Linked DNA regions of Alligator mississippiensis. The protein of the gene in region 1 purifies or fractionates together with the protein of each later gene. This does not show direct contact. Links are inferred from orthologs where the notes say so. Each region holds a gene or a part of one and is shown on either strand. Other genes may lie near its edges.

The links. The genes of interacting proteins can lie anywhere in the genome.
Region 2: the proteins of DYRK1A (region 1) and TRMT61B purify together in Homo sapiens (affinity purification with mass spectrometry, with the first as the bait; 3 studies listed by BioGRID). This does not show direct contact. The link is inferred for Alligator mississippiensis from reciprocal best matches to the Homo sapiens genes DYRK1A and TRMT61B.

The regions. Positions count from the first base shown.
Region 1 is NC_081824.1:295,213,432-295,221,481, reverse strand, and holds the start of DYRK1A (dual specificity tyrosine-phosphorylation-regulated kinase 1A), read right to left. Parts: upstream 3,035-8,050; 5' UTR 2,951-3,034; intron 2,693-2,950; exon of another isoform or gene 2,426-2,692; intron 1-2,425. UniProt on the Homo sapiens protein: Dual-specificity kinase which possesses both serine/threonine and tyrosine kinase activities. Exhibits a substrate preference for proline at position P+1 and arginine at position P-3.
Region 2 is NC_081824.1:176,251,662-176,259,507, forward strand, and holds the start of TRMT61B (tRNA (adenine(58)-N(1))-methyltransferase, mitochondrial), read right to left. Parts: upstream 3,052-7,846; 5' UTR 2,943-3,051; coding exon 2,499-2,942; intron 432-2,498; coding exon 329-431; intron 1-328.

The DNA of each region.
Region 1 (8,050 bases):
TACACATGTATTTTAAGTGTCATACTTGCTTCCAAACTTAAGCTGGTAGCACAACTTTCAGTATGACATTATGAACACCTCAAAATAAAGAGTTTCTGAAGGGAAACTGAAGACATTACCTAAACTATAGCAGCATAGTTGGTTTTCTGAACATTTTAGCTTTGAATGCGCCACCCATTTCTGTTCAGAATAATGTATGTATGCTATAAAGGAAAAGGGGCATGCTTTTCAGCTAAGTTTAATACGCCCCTACGTTTGCTGGTTGTGCTGTGGGCAACAGAAACAGCTAAGCAAATGTGTTAGCCTCTATATTAAAAAGTACCCTGTTAAACTAATGAGGCTGAAAACATACACTACTTCTGTCCTCAGATGAATCATCTGTGGACAAAAGTAGTATATGTTTTCAACTCAGTCACAAGTTTCTTGCTAAGGCCTTGTCTAAAGTAAGGTTTTAACGTGTGCTATCAGAATGTGTTAGCAAACACGGGCTAACTTTTAAAAACTTTCATCCAGATAGTGAAGGTAGCATGTCCTATATGCCTTGCATAGGATATTAAAATAACAGCTAGAATGCATCAATTAACCTCATATATTAAACCCTATTATAGATAAAGCCCACAGCACTCTAAAAATGGGTACATGCTCAGGCACTACTACATCACTGCCTTCACACCAAAAATGAAATACCAGTTGTAAACTGGAGTTCTTTTGGAGCACACGTAGCAAGCAGAGAAATCTTTTTTTCGCTATTTCAGAAAACTGCTCTTGCTCCTCTTTCCCTACAGCTGTCCACAATGGCAAAGCCAAGATGTTAAGGCCTGAGCCACTGGTTCTAAACCTTTTGAGGGCACCCCTCAGAAAATCCCAACTCCTAGGTTTCACTCTTTTTTTTTTTTTTGTAGCAAGTCTTTGGATGCAAAGAACTCAGAAAGACCACAACAGCTTTACCGTTATGGATTCCTATTTGAAATCTATGGGTTTATCTTGTGAATCATGCCAGCACACAACTAAGCTAACATTGTATCGTACCCTGTGGCACCCTTTAAAGGATCTCAAGGCAACCTAGTCTAGACCTATGCAAACCCTGATTTAGTAACTATAATTCTGCCATACTTCTGACACCTAGAAACAAATACCAAAGCACTTTTATTTAAAAAAAAAAAACATTTAGAAAACTTAAATTAGGGAACCATCTCATTTGGAAGGGTAGAAAAGCAACAGCTCTCATTTAACTTCAAACATGGAACAATTTTTTATTAAAAATAACTGTCAAGACCCATGCACAGATTGCATAAAGCCTTGAACATTTGTTGCTAGAGAAGTATCAAAAAACTGAAATGGAATGAAAACATAAATCTAACACATCACACATGTAAACTTCAAATAAATGAACGCACGCCTTGACTTTAAATACTTCATTTTTATGAGTTGATGACACTAGTCTACAAAGTAATCTATTTATTTATGTGTTTCACTAAATATATCCAGAATAGCAATCGACAAGTAACTATTTGAACGCGAGATGGGTACATGCAGGATTACTTACAAAACTTTACTCCCGAACAGTATAATTATTTCAATTATATCTTTTTTTTTTGGGGGGGGGGGGGGGGGGGGGGGGGGAGTTTTGGCCAAACGTGTCAGGAGGGCTACGCCATTCTCATTTGTGATGAGTTAAACAGCTTTCACTAATGTTTAAGGTTATTAACTATGACCACAAACAAAATGCACCAGTTTTGACATCAGGCATCACCCAGGTGTCCTCCCCAGCACTCATTCTCAGGGAAGCAGGCAAGGCCACTGAGAAGTTGCCACCTTAGCGACAGTGTGTCAAAGTTTGCTCCTCCAAGACCTTGGCATGCTCCCCGCTTGACACTGACTGCCCCCTCTTGCAAAAATATATACAGTACTGGCCATAAATAATAGCACATTATCGCGGGGGGGGGGGAAGCTGCTGTGAAGAAATACACGAAGCTTGCTGATTTGTTGGGGGTGACAATTTTTTATGTTCCTTATCTTAAAAGCATAAAAACATAGCACTCTGATGGCTGGGGAACAGCAGGAGGGCCAAACCTTCAACACCCTTCATCAAACAATCCAGGGGCAACTCGCAAGTTGATAAGAAGCCCAGAGCACCCCCCCCACGGCGGACTGCGGGGCTGGAGGAACCGGGCCGGGCCGGGCCGGGCAGGGCCGGGAGGAGGGCGCGGGGAACAGGTGGGCGATGCTGTGCCCGGCCTCACCAGGGAACCCCGTCCTCACGGGGGCGAACAGCCCATCGGCCTGGAGCCGGGTCCCGCCACCGCAACAGGTGCCGGTGCCGCTGCCCAGGGCCGGGCAGCCCCCTCCTCTTCCGCACGGCTGCAGGCCGTGCCCAAGCTCCCCGCTCTAAGATGGCAGCGGGGCCTCGGCCGGCGGCACTTACCGTGCGCGGGCGGCGGCGCTCGGGGCCGGGGCCAGGGCCTCGTCACTCAGGCGGCGGCGGCGGGAGTGGGTTTGGCGCCGCCTGGGCCCTGCAGCGCCTGCCCGCGGTCCCGCAGCCCGGGCCGGCCGGCCGCGGGGCGGGGCGGCGCGGGGCCCGGCGGGCGGATCCGCGGCGCTGCCCGACCGGGCGGATTTGTCGATGGCTTCACAAAATGGCGCGCGCTCCCAACCTGCGCAGCGGCCGGCGGCAGCAACGGCGGCAACGGCTACGGGGTGTCCCCTTCCCCTCCCCCTCCCGAGCCGGGGCGGTTGGCGGGCGGGGCGGGGCGGAGCCCCGGGAACTCCTCGCTCGCTCCCCCCTCCCCGCACGCGCGCGCCGCGCTCCTCCCCCTCCCCCCACCAAGCCGAGCTGAGCCGGCTGCTCCTCCAGGCCCACGCACTCGCCCGCCTCGAACCTCCCTGCTGACACACACACATACACAGCCAATCCCCCCCGCGCGTGGGATGCGCGCGCCCCGTCACGCACCGAATCCTTTTTTTCCCCCAGTGTTGGAACCGGCGGTTCGGGCGGGAAAGGGGAAGGATTTCAAAAAAAGAAAAAAAAAAAAAAAAAGCCAACTGACAAAATGGCGACGGGACGAGCCTGTTGCTATGGAGACTGTCAATCACACCGCCCAGGGCCCCGCCCCTGACTCGGTCTATGCTAGGAGGGGAGGGCAGACCGCGCTGACGTAGGAAGGGAGGGAATGGGGTGAAGGCGGGGCTTGGTCGCCCTGGTAACTGCTGGTGTTCCCTCGCAGTTCCCCCCCCTTTGGCCCGGCTGTCACGTGGTGGTATAACTTGGCGGGCGCTGGGCGGGTGCTGCAGGCCGCTGGGAGCGGGGGGGGGCAGGGGAGACCCTTTTCACGCCCAGCCTCCAGCGGCGCGGGCTGCACGGGCACTTGCTCGCACCGGCGCTGAAGTGGGCTGGGCTGCAGTGCGCACACACTTATACACTCCCACACTGTCACAAATACGTACTCACACTCATGCACACTGTCACACGCTTTCCCATACAGTCACATGCACAATCACGTTCTCAGTCACGCACATGCACACACTCAACTGTTGTGGCCACACACACATGCCCTCTCATGCTTTCACTGTAACACATGCTTACATGCACACTGGCTGTCACACAGGCTCACATGCTCTCATAGTCATGCACACGCACTCTCACACTGTCACACATGCTCACACACACGGCAGGAGGAGCAAAGGGCTGTGTTCTCCATGCTGGTTATCCACAGCATGGTAGCCCCAGAAGGCCTCTTTGTGTAGGCAGGTCCTTGCCATGCTGGGGATGAGGAGCCTGGACTCGCCTCTGGACACACAGGGCCTTGAGCTGAGAAGGGGATGACCTCGTTTGGGTGGGGTGGAGCAGGGGCTATGGTGCAGGGGAGGGCAGATTTTCTTAAATTGAAGGGATCTTGGAAGATCATCAGGTCCTGCCCCAAGCAGGAAAGGTAACTGGGGGTCAGGTGACCCCAGCAAGGTGACTGTCTAGTGTCCTCTTGAAGATTTCCAGGGTAGGTGATCACACCACCTCTGGAGGGAGCTTATTCCACAATCTGGACACCCTGACTGTGAAGTTTTTCCTAGTGATCCTAAAATTTCCTCACTGGGAAGAGGAGGCATCTAAGCTGGGGAGTTTTCACAGAGTTGTTGGGCCTGGGAGGATGAAGTAGGATGGAGAAACCTTGGCTGGATGAAGGAGATGTCTGAGGTGTAGGAAGAGTGAGAGGAGAAGAAGGTGTTAGTCTGGCGAAAATCAGGTGGCAATGGCCCTTCACTGGGGGAAACCAGAGGAAGCAGCAGAGGTAGGGGAAATGGGCATGGATAGGAGTCATGGGTTGAAAAGGTGAACAACACCAGCAGAGAGTGCGGGAAGATCTATGCAGCAGAAGTGGAGGTTTCTGCTGCTACTGGGGAACCTTGTGTATGCAGGAGTTCTGCCAGCAAGACTTGATAGCATAGATTAGGTCCATGTATAAGACAGGCAGGTAAGAGGTAGATGGAAAGTATCTGCAGGGGGAGAGGTAAAAAGAAGGCCGGGAACATTGACTGGGGTGTGCCAGTGCTCCTGCTGGGATGAACGGTCCCTGGCTAGAGAGTTTTGCCCCTACGCTTAGGGTCAGACCAGTCATCAGATTTGGGGGCAGGAAGGAATTTCACCCTGTGGTAAGATTGTAGGGGTTTTTGTCTCTGTCTGTTGGAGGGAGGGGCCCTCTACCTAGGATCTCTTGAGCATATATTGACATCATCATTCACAGAAGCAGGGCATTGGCTGTCATTGTTCCCCTGCTTTACCTGTGGCAGGTTAGGGTGTTAGGTCTGCTGTATCAGGGTTGATAGCAGTCTTATATAGAGTTTAGATTATGGATTGTATAGGATGGTTTGACATGAGATGATTCCACCTTAGGCAGGGGTTTGGACTAGATGACCCCTGAACATCGCTGCCAGCCCAACTTTTCTATGATTTCTATGATTCTTTTCTATGTCACTGGGAGAAAACAGGTGTCAACATTAGGAACTTACTGAATTTGTTCTGCTTTTTACTGCAGGGTTTCACATTTTCTCATTAGGAAGTGAGGGTACCAAGAAAGAGCAAGAACCCTTTTCTTACCCCTAGAAGGGTTTTGGTGTGGGATATGCTTTCAAGAGTCCCAAGTTTTACACTTGGAGAACCTGATTAAGTTGTGGGGAAGGAAAGAGAAAGGAATGTGCGCATGTATACACTTGTTCATGTCTGTACCTCTACTTCTAGGCATCAGTGGGAATTGGGGGAGGCTCTGTTCCCCCAGGCACTACATGGGGTTACTAGGAATAATGACCACAATTTGTTAGAGAGAAGGTTCAGGCTGGATATCAGGAGACATTACTTTACAGTTAGAGCTGCCAGGATCTGGAATGGGCTCCCAAGTGAGGTGGTACTCTCTCCTACCTTGGGGGTCTTCAAGAGTGGGCTGGACAGATATTTGTCTGGGGTGATATGATCCCTGCACCCATTCCTGCCCAGGGCAGGGGGTCGGACCTGATGATCTGTTTAGGTCCCTTCCAACCCTAAGTACTATGATACTATGATCCACCATTAGTGACCTACTGTAAGAAAAAGGAGAAAAAGCAGAATGGATGAAAGAAAAAATGGAATGGAAGTGAGAGAAATGCAATAAGTTATATTTCTAAATATATCGAATGGAATGGTAATATACATAAATATATGCAGAATATAATAAAATACACAACTATTTTATTCCTTTAAATTGCTGTAGATGTTGCAACACTGCCTTTTTTCTTCACCACACCTGATAAACTTAAGTCTAGTCTGCATGGGGAAATTTGTACCACTTTAACTTAAATCAGGTTTAAAACTGATTAGGTTGCACTGGTACAACTATCTTCATGGACAATTATTTTGTTTGAGTGACATTTGAAATCAATAAGGAACAAAGTCAAAGTACACCAATCTGACAGGAAGGGGGGACAAAAACAACTCAAACCAAAACAAGGTTCACATGCTTGGGTTTGCACCCAGTTAACCAAACTGGTTTCTGTTTACACCTTAGGTTAAGCCAGTATAACTTTCTCATAGACAAGCCCTAGTTCCTATGTGAGTCAGAGTACCAGTTCCCTCAGAAGTCAGATTGGGCACATAACAGTCTTTGGTTTTTGCAAATCTCACGCTGAATATCCTTAGGCTAGTAAATATTGGGAGAATATTCCCTGTCCCATAATGATATATTAAGGCGCTTGTACACATGACGAAAATGTCATTTGTGTGGCTTAATGGTGTCACATATTATATGTGCACCAGTTTTGGGGTTTGCATCATTGTAAAGTAAACTACATCCAGATGTAGTTGCGTTCCAGCTGTCAGCTCCCCTGCCCCCCCCCCCCCCCCACCTGCTGCAGGAGAGGCGAGCAGGCTCCACAGAAAAAAAGAATTGGGTCCCTGGCCACTTCTGCTTTCAGCAGGTGCCTGAAGGAGTCCGATCCTTTTTTTTTCCAGTGGAGTCTGCCCGTGTCTCCCGCAGCTGGGGGAGCAGCTGCCAGCAGGCCAAGCAGTCCCACTTTAACCAAGTAGCAGACATCTTCAAGGTAAAGCATCTAACCCCCAAACCAGAGAACAGAAAGTGGAGGAAGGACAAGGAGAGAAATCCTAGTCTACAGCCTGTTCTCCCCCACAGAAGGACTTGTAACTTCTGTGGACAGATAAATGGCTCAAGGACTGGACTCCTAAGTCATCTCAAGACCCATTAGTGGGCAGTGGTAGAGATCCTCAAATAAAGGGATTGCTAATGACCAGGGGAAATAATATGAAAGAACTGGGGAAGGAGAGAAGCCTGTTTGCTTTAATAAGTGAGAATGCATATAAACTCTGTGGGCTAAGCCAATGGAGTATGTCACATGTGGACTAAGTTTTGGGGGAACCTGCCTCTCTGTGTGTGTGGGTGTGTGTGTGTGAACAGTTTTGCAAGGTTGGGGTGGGGGTAGAGGCTGCATGTACCAACAAGTTTTTAGGGAATTTTCATGGGCTTGGCATTTACCATATTTGAGAGAAAGGTGTTTGTGTGATAGTGAGTGAGAGCCACTGAGTGAATTTGGGGGTTTGAGGCAAAACTGTATACTATTTTGGGAGGGGTGGGAAAGGAGTCTGAGCATTTATGAAGAGGTAAGCAGCACAGAAAGTGAGAAGGAACTGAATGAGAAAAGAATAAAAAGAAATTATGAATAGGGAGCAAAAGAAAGCATGGAAAGGAGTGACATTATGCTGGGAGTTGAGTGAAACCTCATAGAAACAGGTGGATATAATAGGAGGGGAGACAGTGGGGAAAGGAAAAAAAGGTTAACTAAGAAACAATGGCAGGAGAAACATCAGAGGCAAAAAAGATAATGCAGCAAAGAAATACAAACATTCAGATAACAATTTATAACACATCCCTGAGAAAAGGTACTGTTTTCAAGGAAACAGGAAGTTGCATACCTTATTTGTAAATAAGCAGGATTGCATCTAAATCACTGTGGCTCTATCTTCATTTTCTTCTCCTAACAGAAACCACCCCCACAAGATACTGAATATTGTTAATCCCCTGCTGTCAATGATACCTTTCAATGGATTACTATTTTTTTTTAGAAAGCCTAAAATCACAGTATGTACCACCGCTGTAATCTATTTTTTTTCTAACTGGTTTTATATTTATAACATTGATAATATTTGAAATCCAAAAGCATTTCCACATTCGTCATGCATGAAAGCTATGGTAACAGGAGTGAGGTAGCAGGCAAACTAAACAAGGCCACTGAGGCCACTGTCTTGTGGCATCTAATGTTCCTATCAGTTATGTCTTAGGTGTGGTCAGCAAATAAATTCTCCACTGCAGAATGCGCCTCTTCAATCTCCAGTTTCTCAGAATTGAGGCAATACTATCTTTAACCATTCCTTCCCTTTGCCTGTAGTACATATTTCTGCACTGCTTGGTACTAATTTTTGTCGGTGACTGTTTTCCAATGTATTTCAGGACTAATTTTTCTTGGTGTTTGTCATTTTCCTCAGCAGACCACTAGCCTCTTCTGTCTGACACTTTTT
Region 2 (7,846 bases), about 120 Mb from region 1:
AAGAATAATGAAGAAAGAAGCTAGAAAGATAAGGCAAGGGTGATGACAAAAATTGAGTGAAATCCAGTCCTGTCCAGAGGGTTAGCACAAGGCCTGTGCAAGATTTAAGTCTTCAAAATACAGTTTAAATGGTTTACAGGGTATATGGTAGCCCTCTGAATTTCAGACTATATAAATAATAGGTATGAATCTTAAAATGCTAAAAACAAGCAAGCTAGTAACTTCAGGCTCCTATTAATGAAAAAGTACCACTTCTTATACTGGAATTGTTTATATTGCTTCTGTAATAAATACACTCCCAGATTTGCTGACACACAGATTTTTTTACCTGCTCTTGATAAAAACAAACTCATTGCACCAGACCCAGAACCACTTTCCAACACGGTGTCCCCTGGATGGATGTCCATCATCAGCAGCATTGCATTAATATCCTATGGGTAAAAACAATTAAGTTGAGAAACCAAGGTCTTATACTGTTTCTTCGAACACTGAGTTGTTAGACTACTTCTTTACATCATGTAACATCTTTATGATTACAAAAACCCAGTGATCTAGGCCAGTGGTTCTCAACCTTTTTCCTACTGGGACCATTTTCAAAGATCCATGGCCTGTTCCGACCCACACCGCCCTGGCCCTGCCAGTGCCCAACCCCCAGTCCCTTGTCTCCCCAGGGCCATACTGGTGTCCCCCAGTGCTGCCAGCCCAGCCATGCAGCTCTCCCCTGCCCCTTTCCCCCGCTGGAAGGGGCAGGTGCCTTCCCACCATCCCTCTGCCCTGCTGCAACTTGTGACCCTTTGAAATATTCTTGCAACCCACTTTTGGGTTGTGACCCACAGGTTGAGAAACGGTGATCTAGGCCATAAAGACAGAATTTATTTTTATGTGAATAGTACTCCTCAATCTAATAAAGCAAATGGCAAATTGTGGTGGTGAAAATAAAAATATGTCTCCCCTCTTCCTTCCCTCCCAAACCACTGCGTGCCTTTTGTTTCAGCGTGAAAGAAGCAACCTGAAAGTAAACTCTACTGATGTTTCCCTACATTTAAAATGCTGGAATATTCCAAATTAGCAGTGAGGTTCTATTACAGAGAGGACATGTACTTCTAATATGAAAAGATTTCAAACAAGGACTGCCTGGCATGCCAAAGGAGCCTGCTGGTCATTTGCCTGTTGGTTGCAGCTAAATAATATATTGTTATATCTATAGACAGATAATCAGAAATAAACGCCCAACTGTAAATTTTACTAATTCTCTGTTCACGGAGAGCCCAGTCTACTACCCTGACCATGGAGTGGGCCCCAGTTTCACAAGCTTTTGGTGACATTTCCCCTGCCAGGAGTAAGACTAGTACCCACCTCTAAACTGCCCTTCTGCCCGAAACCACTGGCATCCTATAGGGTGCCAGGCTATTTCAGCACTGGGTGTCCATCAGTTGCAGGCAGTACCATCGACCAAAAATTATGGTAGCAGGTGAATGTGACCTGCCGGTGTTGAAAATGCAGCTCTAAAGCAACTCCAGAGTTTTTTTTTTGAGGGAAACTGTACACTGGCAGTTCTCAGCCTTTTTTTTAAGACTAGAAGCACCCTCCTCAGAACCAAGGCCACACTGCTGTTCAGTCTCCCAACGGCCCTTGGGTAGCACAAATGCCTGAACTGCCAGTCGGTTTTCCTGTGGAGTTGTGCTAGCACCACCAGCTCCCCGGGCTGGAATGCAGGGTGGCCAGCTCTATCTGAATCTATTCCCAGAGGTGTCCACAAACACAGCACTCCCATGACACACAATGTGAACATGCCACGTCCTTGCATGTACCAGTTACGGATTACGGTGAGCGGATTTTACATCAAGAAGACAAACGCTCGTTACTATCACACTTTAAAAATCCACTGCACCACTATATAAATTGGATTCAACATATTCATTTTAGTGAACGCCCTATTATTTCTCTCCTGGGCGACTCTAGGCAGTCTCCCGGAGATTTACATCTCATTCCTGCAGACTCCGGGGCAATCCTGGAGGGTTGGCAACCCTACTGGAAGGGCATCTAGTTAAGCAAAGGCCAATTTTCACTGGGTTTCCTGACGACGATGAAGTAACAGAGCACTGCTCCTCTGGCAAAGAACGCGGGGCAGGATGGTTTGCACACTCTGGTTCCTATTCACGGGGCCAGACACAGTCATGGGTGAACACTGCCTGGGGCCTGGACAGAAACGGGGCCTGAAAATGGAAATCTTTCGATTATCATTATCTTTGGTGAAGGGGGGCCAATACTAAGAGTCAAATACTAAGAGTCTGCCCGGGACCGCCAGGAGTCTAGGGATGGTGCTGCCTATCCAACAGCTCCGAGGTGCTCCCATGCATGGCATGCGCATGCCGACCCATGCTGGCACCCCCAAAAAGACCTCAGGGCCCGGGGTGTGAACGGCCTCCAGCCCTCGGAGGCTCTTTGCAACCTGCTTTTGCGCCCCAGCTGCGCCCAGCCTGGCCCAAGCCCCTCACCTTGGGATAGGAGATGGTGGGTCCCCTCTTCATGAGCAGCACGAACTCGTCCAGCGCCGGGCGGCGCACCAGCAGGGGCACGCCCTGGGACGTGGCCACCATTTGCCCGGGCAGCTTGCCCAGGATGCGGCCGTGCTCCACCACCCCCCAGCAGCTATTCAGCCGGCCCAGCGCCGTCAGCTGGCACATGCGCCTGAACTCCCCGTGCCGCCTCCTGCGCAGCTCCGCCAGCACCAGCTCCCCGGCCTGCAGGGGCCGCTCCCCGCCCGGCGCCCCGGGCCCGCCCGCGCCCGGCACCGGCTCCTGGAGCCGCTGCAGGGAGCACAGGGCCCGGCGCCGCGCCGCCGCGCGGGGAGAGGCCGCGCCGCCCGGGGCCGCAGCAGGGCCCGGCCCGGAGCAGGCGCCCCGCAGCGCCCGCAGGCCCCAGCCCGCCCGCGGCAGCATGGCCCGACCGCGGCGGCCCACGTGGCTGCTCCTCCCGCCTGGCGCCGGGGCCGGCCCGCCTCCTCCGCCGCTCCCTGCCCCGCCAGGCACCCGGCCACGGCCGGCCCCCTCTGCGCGCCCTTTCGGCCGCTCCGTGCGCCGCCTGCACACGCGCGTCTGCCTGCCCAGGCCCTGTGCTCCCCTGCGGCGCGAGTGAAAGAGAGAGAGAGAGAGTGTGTGCGTGTGTGACTCTCTGCTCCCCTTCTACCCCCCTACCCCGCTCCCCATTAGTGTGTGTGTGTGTAGAACCACATCGACACTTGTGCTGTAATGCACTTTAGGTAACCAGCATTAAATCTTGTGCTTCGAGGCTGCTATACAAGTGCGAACAGCCTGCTGGACATCCAATGTATGGGAGTAGACTGCTGGAACACAGAAACTGAGGTGTTCTAGCAGCCTTCCACATCACCTGTACTAGTGTCCCAGCGCATCTCTGCGCTGACAAAGTGACAGCAAGGGCACTTTGAAATAAAACATGTTTGATGAGCATTAGTTCAAAGCACACTGCCACCATTTTTTCAGCGCGGAGATGCTGATACACGTGACACGCGGGCACTTTTAATAAGCGCAGCTTGCTAACTAAAGTGCCTGGCACCACATCCCACAGCACATGTAAAAATGCCCTCCTCTGCGAGGTACTAGAAAAGGTGCCTTAGCCTGTTTAAATGCACATTAGCTAAAGAGCACATTTTTGTGATGCTTTAATGTACATTAAAATAGGCTAATGTGCATTAAAGCACATGTGTAGAAGCACCCCATGTGATTAGCTAGACAGACAGACCTTTAACCCCCAGGTCCTTTTCTGCAAAACTATTGCTTAGCCAGTCAGTCCCCAGACTGTAACAGTACATGGGATTGTTCTGTCTTAAGTGCAGGACCTCATGAGATTTCTTTTGGCCCAGTCCTCCAATTTGTGTAGGTCACTATGAATCCTAGCCCTGTCATCCAGTGTATCTACTTCTCCCTCCATCCTGGTGTCATCTGCAAATTTGCTGAGCGTGCACTCTATGCCGTCTTCTAGGTAGTTGATCAAGATATTGAACAAAACCAGCCCCAGGACCGACCCCTGGGGCACTCCACTTGATACTGGCTGTCAACTAGACATTGAGCCATTGATTACTACCCTCTAAGCCCAACAATCCAGGCAGTTTTCTGTTCACCTTGCAGTGCATTAATCCAACCTGTACTTCCTTAGCTTGCCTGAGAGAATGTTGTAGGAGATGGTATCAAAACCCTTGCTAAAGTCACTAAATAATCCTATAGGTTCTCCTTACATAGCTCAGAAGGAGGGCTGAAAAGGACTCCACAAGTCATCTAGTGCAATGGTTCTCAACCTTTTTTCATAGATTTCATAGATATTTGGGCTGGAGGGGACCCCAGAGGATCATCGAATCTAGCCCCCTGCCCCAGGGGCCGGAAGTCAGCAGGAATCATAGGATCCCAGCAAGATAAGCAACCAAATGTGTCTTGAAATCATTCAACGTGGGTGCTTGAACTGCCTCCAGCGGCAGTCTGTTCCAAACCTTGGGGGCTCGGACAGTAAAGAAGTTCTTCCTTATGTCCAGCCTGAATCAGTCACAGCTGAGTTTGTGACTGTTTGATCTTGTCATCCCTTGGGGCGCTCTAGTGAACAGACATTTCCCCAGATCCTGATGAGCACCCCTGATAAACTTAGAGGTGGCCACCAGATCACCCCTGAGCCTGTGGTTTTCCAGGCTGAAAAGTCCCATGGCTCTCAGCCTGTCGTCATAAGGTCTGTTTCCTGACCTCTGATCATGTGCGTGGCTCTTCTTAGGACTCTCTCAAGCTTCGCCACATCCTTTGAATTGTGGAGCCCAAAACTGGATGCAGTACTCCAGCTGTGGCCTCACCAAGGCCGAGTACAACAGGAGAATGACATCCAGGGATTTGCTTGAGAAGCATTGATGGATGCAAGCCAGTGTTTTGCTTGCTTTACTAGCCACAGCATCGCATTGAAGGCTCATGTTCATATTGTGGTCAGTCATGACTCCCAAGTCCCCTTCATCTGTAGTGCTAACCAGCGTAGCACTGCTGAACCTATAAGCATGCTGCAGGTTTTTCCTCCCAAGGTGGAGAACCTTGCATTTTTCGGTGTTGAACACCATCAGGTTCTCCTCCACCCATTTCCTGAGCCTGTCAAGATCTGCCTGGATCACCCTCCTGTCCTCAGGTGTGGATGCTTTACCCCAGAGTTTGGTGTCATCAACAAACTTGGCCAGTCCGCTTCTGACACCAATGTCCACATCATTGATGAAGTTGTTAAAAATTAAAGGCCCTAGGACAGAGCCTTGAGGGACCCCACTGGTGACCGCGCACCAAGACGATTGCCTTCCGTCAACCACCACCCTCTGGGTCCTGCCGCGGAGCCAATTCCCCAGCCAGCGGATCGTGGTGAGGTCAAGGCCACAGTTAGCCAGTTTTGCCAAGAGGTGATCATGGGATACCAGATTGAAGGCTTTTTTAAAGTCAAGATATACAACATCAATCTCTTCCCCCTTGTCCAGGTGATAGGTCACCTGGTCATAAAAGGAAATGAGATTGGTCTAGCAAGACCTACCCACAACAAACCAGTGCTGGGTATTCCTCAGGATATTGCAGTCAGCTAGTCTGTTAAGGATGGCTTCTTTGATAATCTTGTCCAAGACCTGCCCCAGGATAGAGGTCAGGCTGATGGGCCTGTAGTTTGCTGGATCTACTTTCCTCCTTTTCTTGAAGATAGGCACCACATTGGCCTTCTTTCAGTCTTCGGGCACTACACCAGAGCGCCAGGAGTTCTCAAAGATCCGTGCCAGGGGCTGAGCTATGATGCTTGCCAGCTGCTTGAGTACCCTGGGGTGTAAACCATCAGGGACGGCTCATGGCCGGCTGTATCAGGACCCATTTGTAAACATTGATGGCTAGTCCTGACCCATACTGGGCAGTAGGTTGGGAGCCCATCACTCCCAACCCACTGCCCACTGCCCCCAGGCCTCAGCCCCACAGTGTGTGGGGCAGGGGAGGGTGTGTGGGGCAAGGGGTTTGTGTGTGGTATAAGCAGCCCCTTGGAGACTGGAACTCTGCCAGCCTGCGAGGGAAAAGCCACAGTTTCCCACGTTTTTCTCCTTTAAAGGAGAATCCATTGTTAAAGTTTGTTGCTCAGTTTTGAAAGTTTGTATGTGACCCTTTCATATATTCTTGTGATGTGCTTCTGGGTCACAACCCATGGGTTGAGAAATGCTGGTCTAGTGCAACTCCCCCTGCCTGAGGCAGACTCTTCCCTAATGTTTTAGCAGCGCCTGACATGTCTGCAGTCCTGGTTTGTCCACTTCAGCCACCAGGCAGGAGCTGGCCTCTTCCATTATAGAATCATAGAGGAGTAGGGCTGGAAGGGAGATCCAGTGGGCACAGGAAAGTGGGGAAGTAGGTGGTGAGGGGATCCTTGAGACCGTCCCCACCCCACACTGCTGTAAACTTAGTTAATAAAGGAGAAATAGAACTGAACTTCTCAGCTGGAAACACCTGAAAGCCTTCGATTGTCACGAGCTACAATACATTCTCCATGTCAGTTGGAAGGGTGGAAGAATGAACACCACGGTTCTGGCTTACACAAATACCAACAGCATCAGACCTGGGTGTATAAGGTACCAGCTTCACTGGGTGGGACATGTTATAATGATGCCTGACAACTGGCTCCCGAAATTGCAACTTGCCAATAGTCTAGAAATGGGCAAATGATGAGATTCCAGGACACCTTGAAGGCCAATCTGAAGAAACATGATAGTAACATCCAAACCTGGGAGACTTGAGCGCTGAATTGTCCCCAGTGGCACCATGAAATAGGAAAAGGCATCAAGTATTCAAGCAAACTTGCTTCACTATGGAGGTGGTTAAGCAAGAGAGACAATGGGAAAGATTTGTGACTTGACATCACCAGGACTCACTACTTTTCCCTGAAACAATTTGCTGTGTCTGTAGTTGAACATACAGATCTTGAATTGGCCTCTTCAGTCATTTCCAGACTCATCAGTGACTTTCCTATCTAATGGAAGACCATCATCCTCATATTGAGGGACTGCCACTGCTGAGTTACAAAACATTCAGTGCATCTTAATGTGTGTGTGTGGTTTGTGGACAATCAATTGACAGTTCAGGGACATGCTTGTAAAAATGATGAGATTTTGAGAAAGCCTCAGTCTCTTTGCACTGGAGCAAAATCCTTCCTGGTGTTCAAGGGGGAAGAATGTTTAAAGCCACAGAGACATGCTCTCAGGGTTGTAGGCAACTGTTAAAAGGGAATACAAATGATTCACAAGTCTGTTGTGGAAATTCACTGGATGCTGAATAATGTTTGTAATTAATTATGAACAAAAAGTTTTGAATTAATGCTAAGTGTTATTTGTTAAACACTTTCCTCGTAGTTGCTGCTATTCATAAGACAGATAAATAAAATAAAAATAAAAGGTTCTCAGGAATTAGTATTAAAATGAAACTTTCCAATCTAACTTCTTGCTTAGACAAAGATAATTTACAGTAACCTTTGGGGACTGTGTAACAAATCATAATGTAAATTTATTTTTAAGTTAATTTTATTGGCATTGTTTGACTGGCATGGCCCTTGACAAAACATACTGCTACATTCTGCTACATTCTGCTACAACTAATGCCTTTTGAAAATTACTAAATATAATACAAAAAATGATCATGTCTTGTAAATATGAATTGAATGGCTAGCAATGGTCAAATGCAGTACCATTTCCATTTACTGTACTTGTTGGGAGAGAAAAAAGGGTCTGGAAATGTAAAAGATTGGAGATTAGGGATTGACTAAACTTTTTGAAGAGTTAAAGCTTTTTGCTTATGCTTTA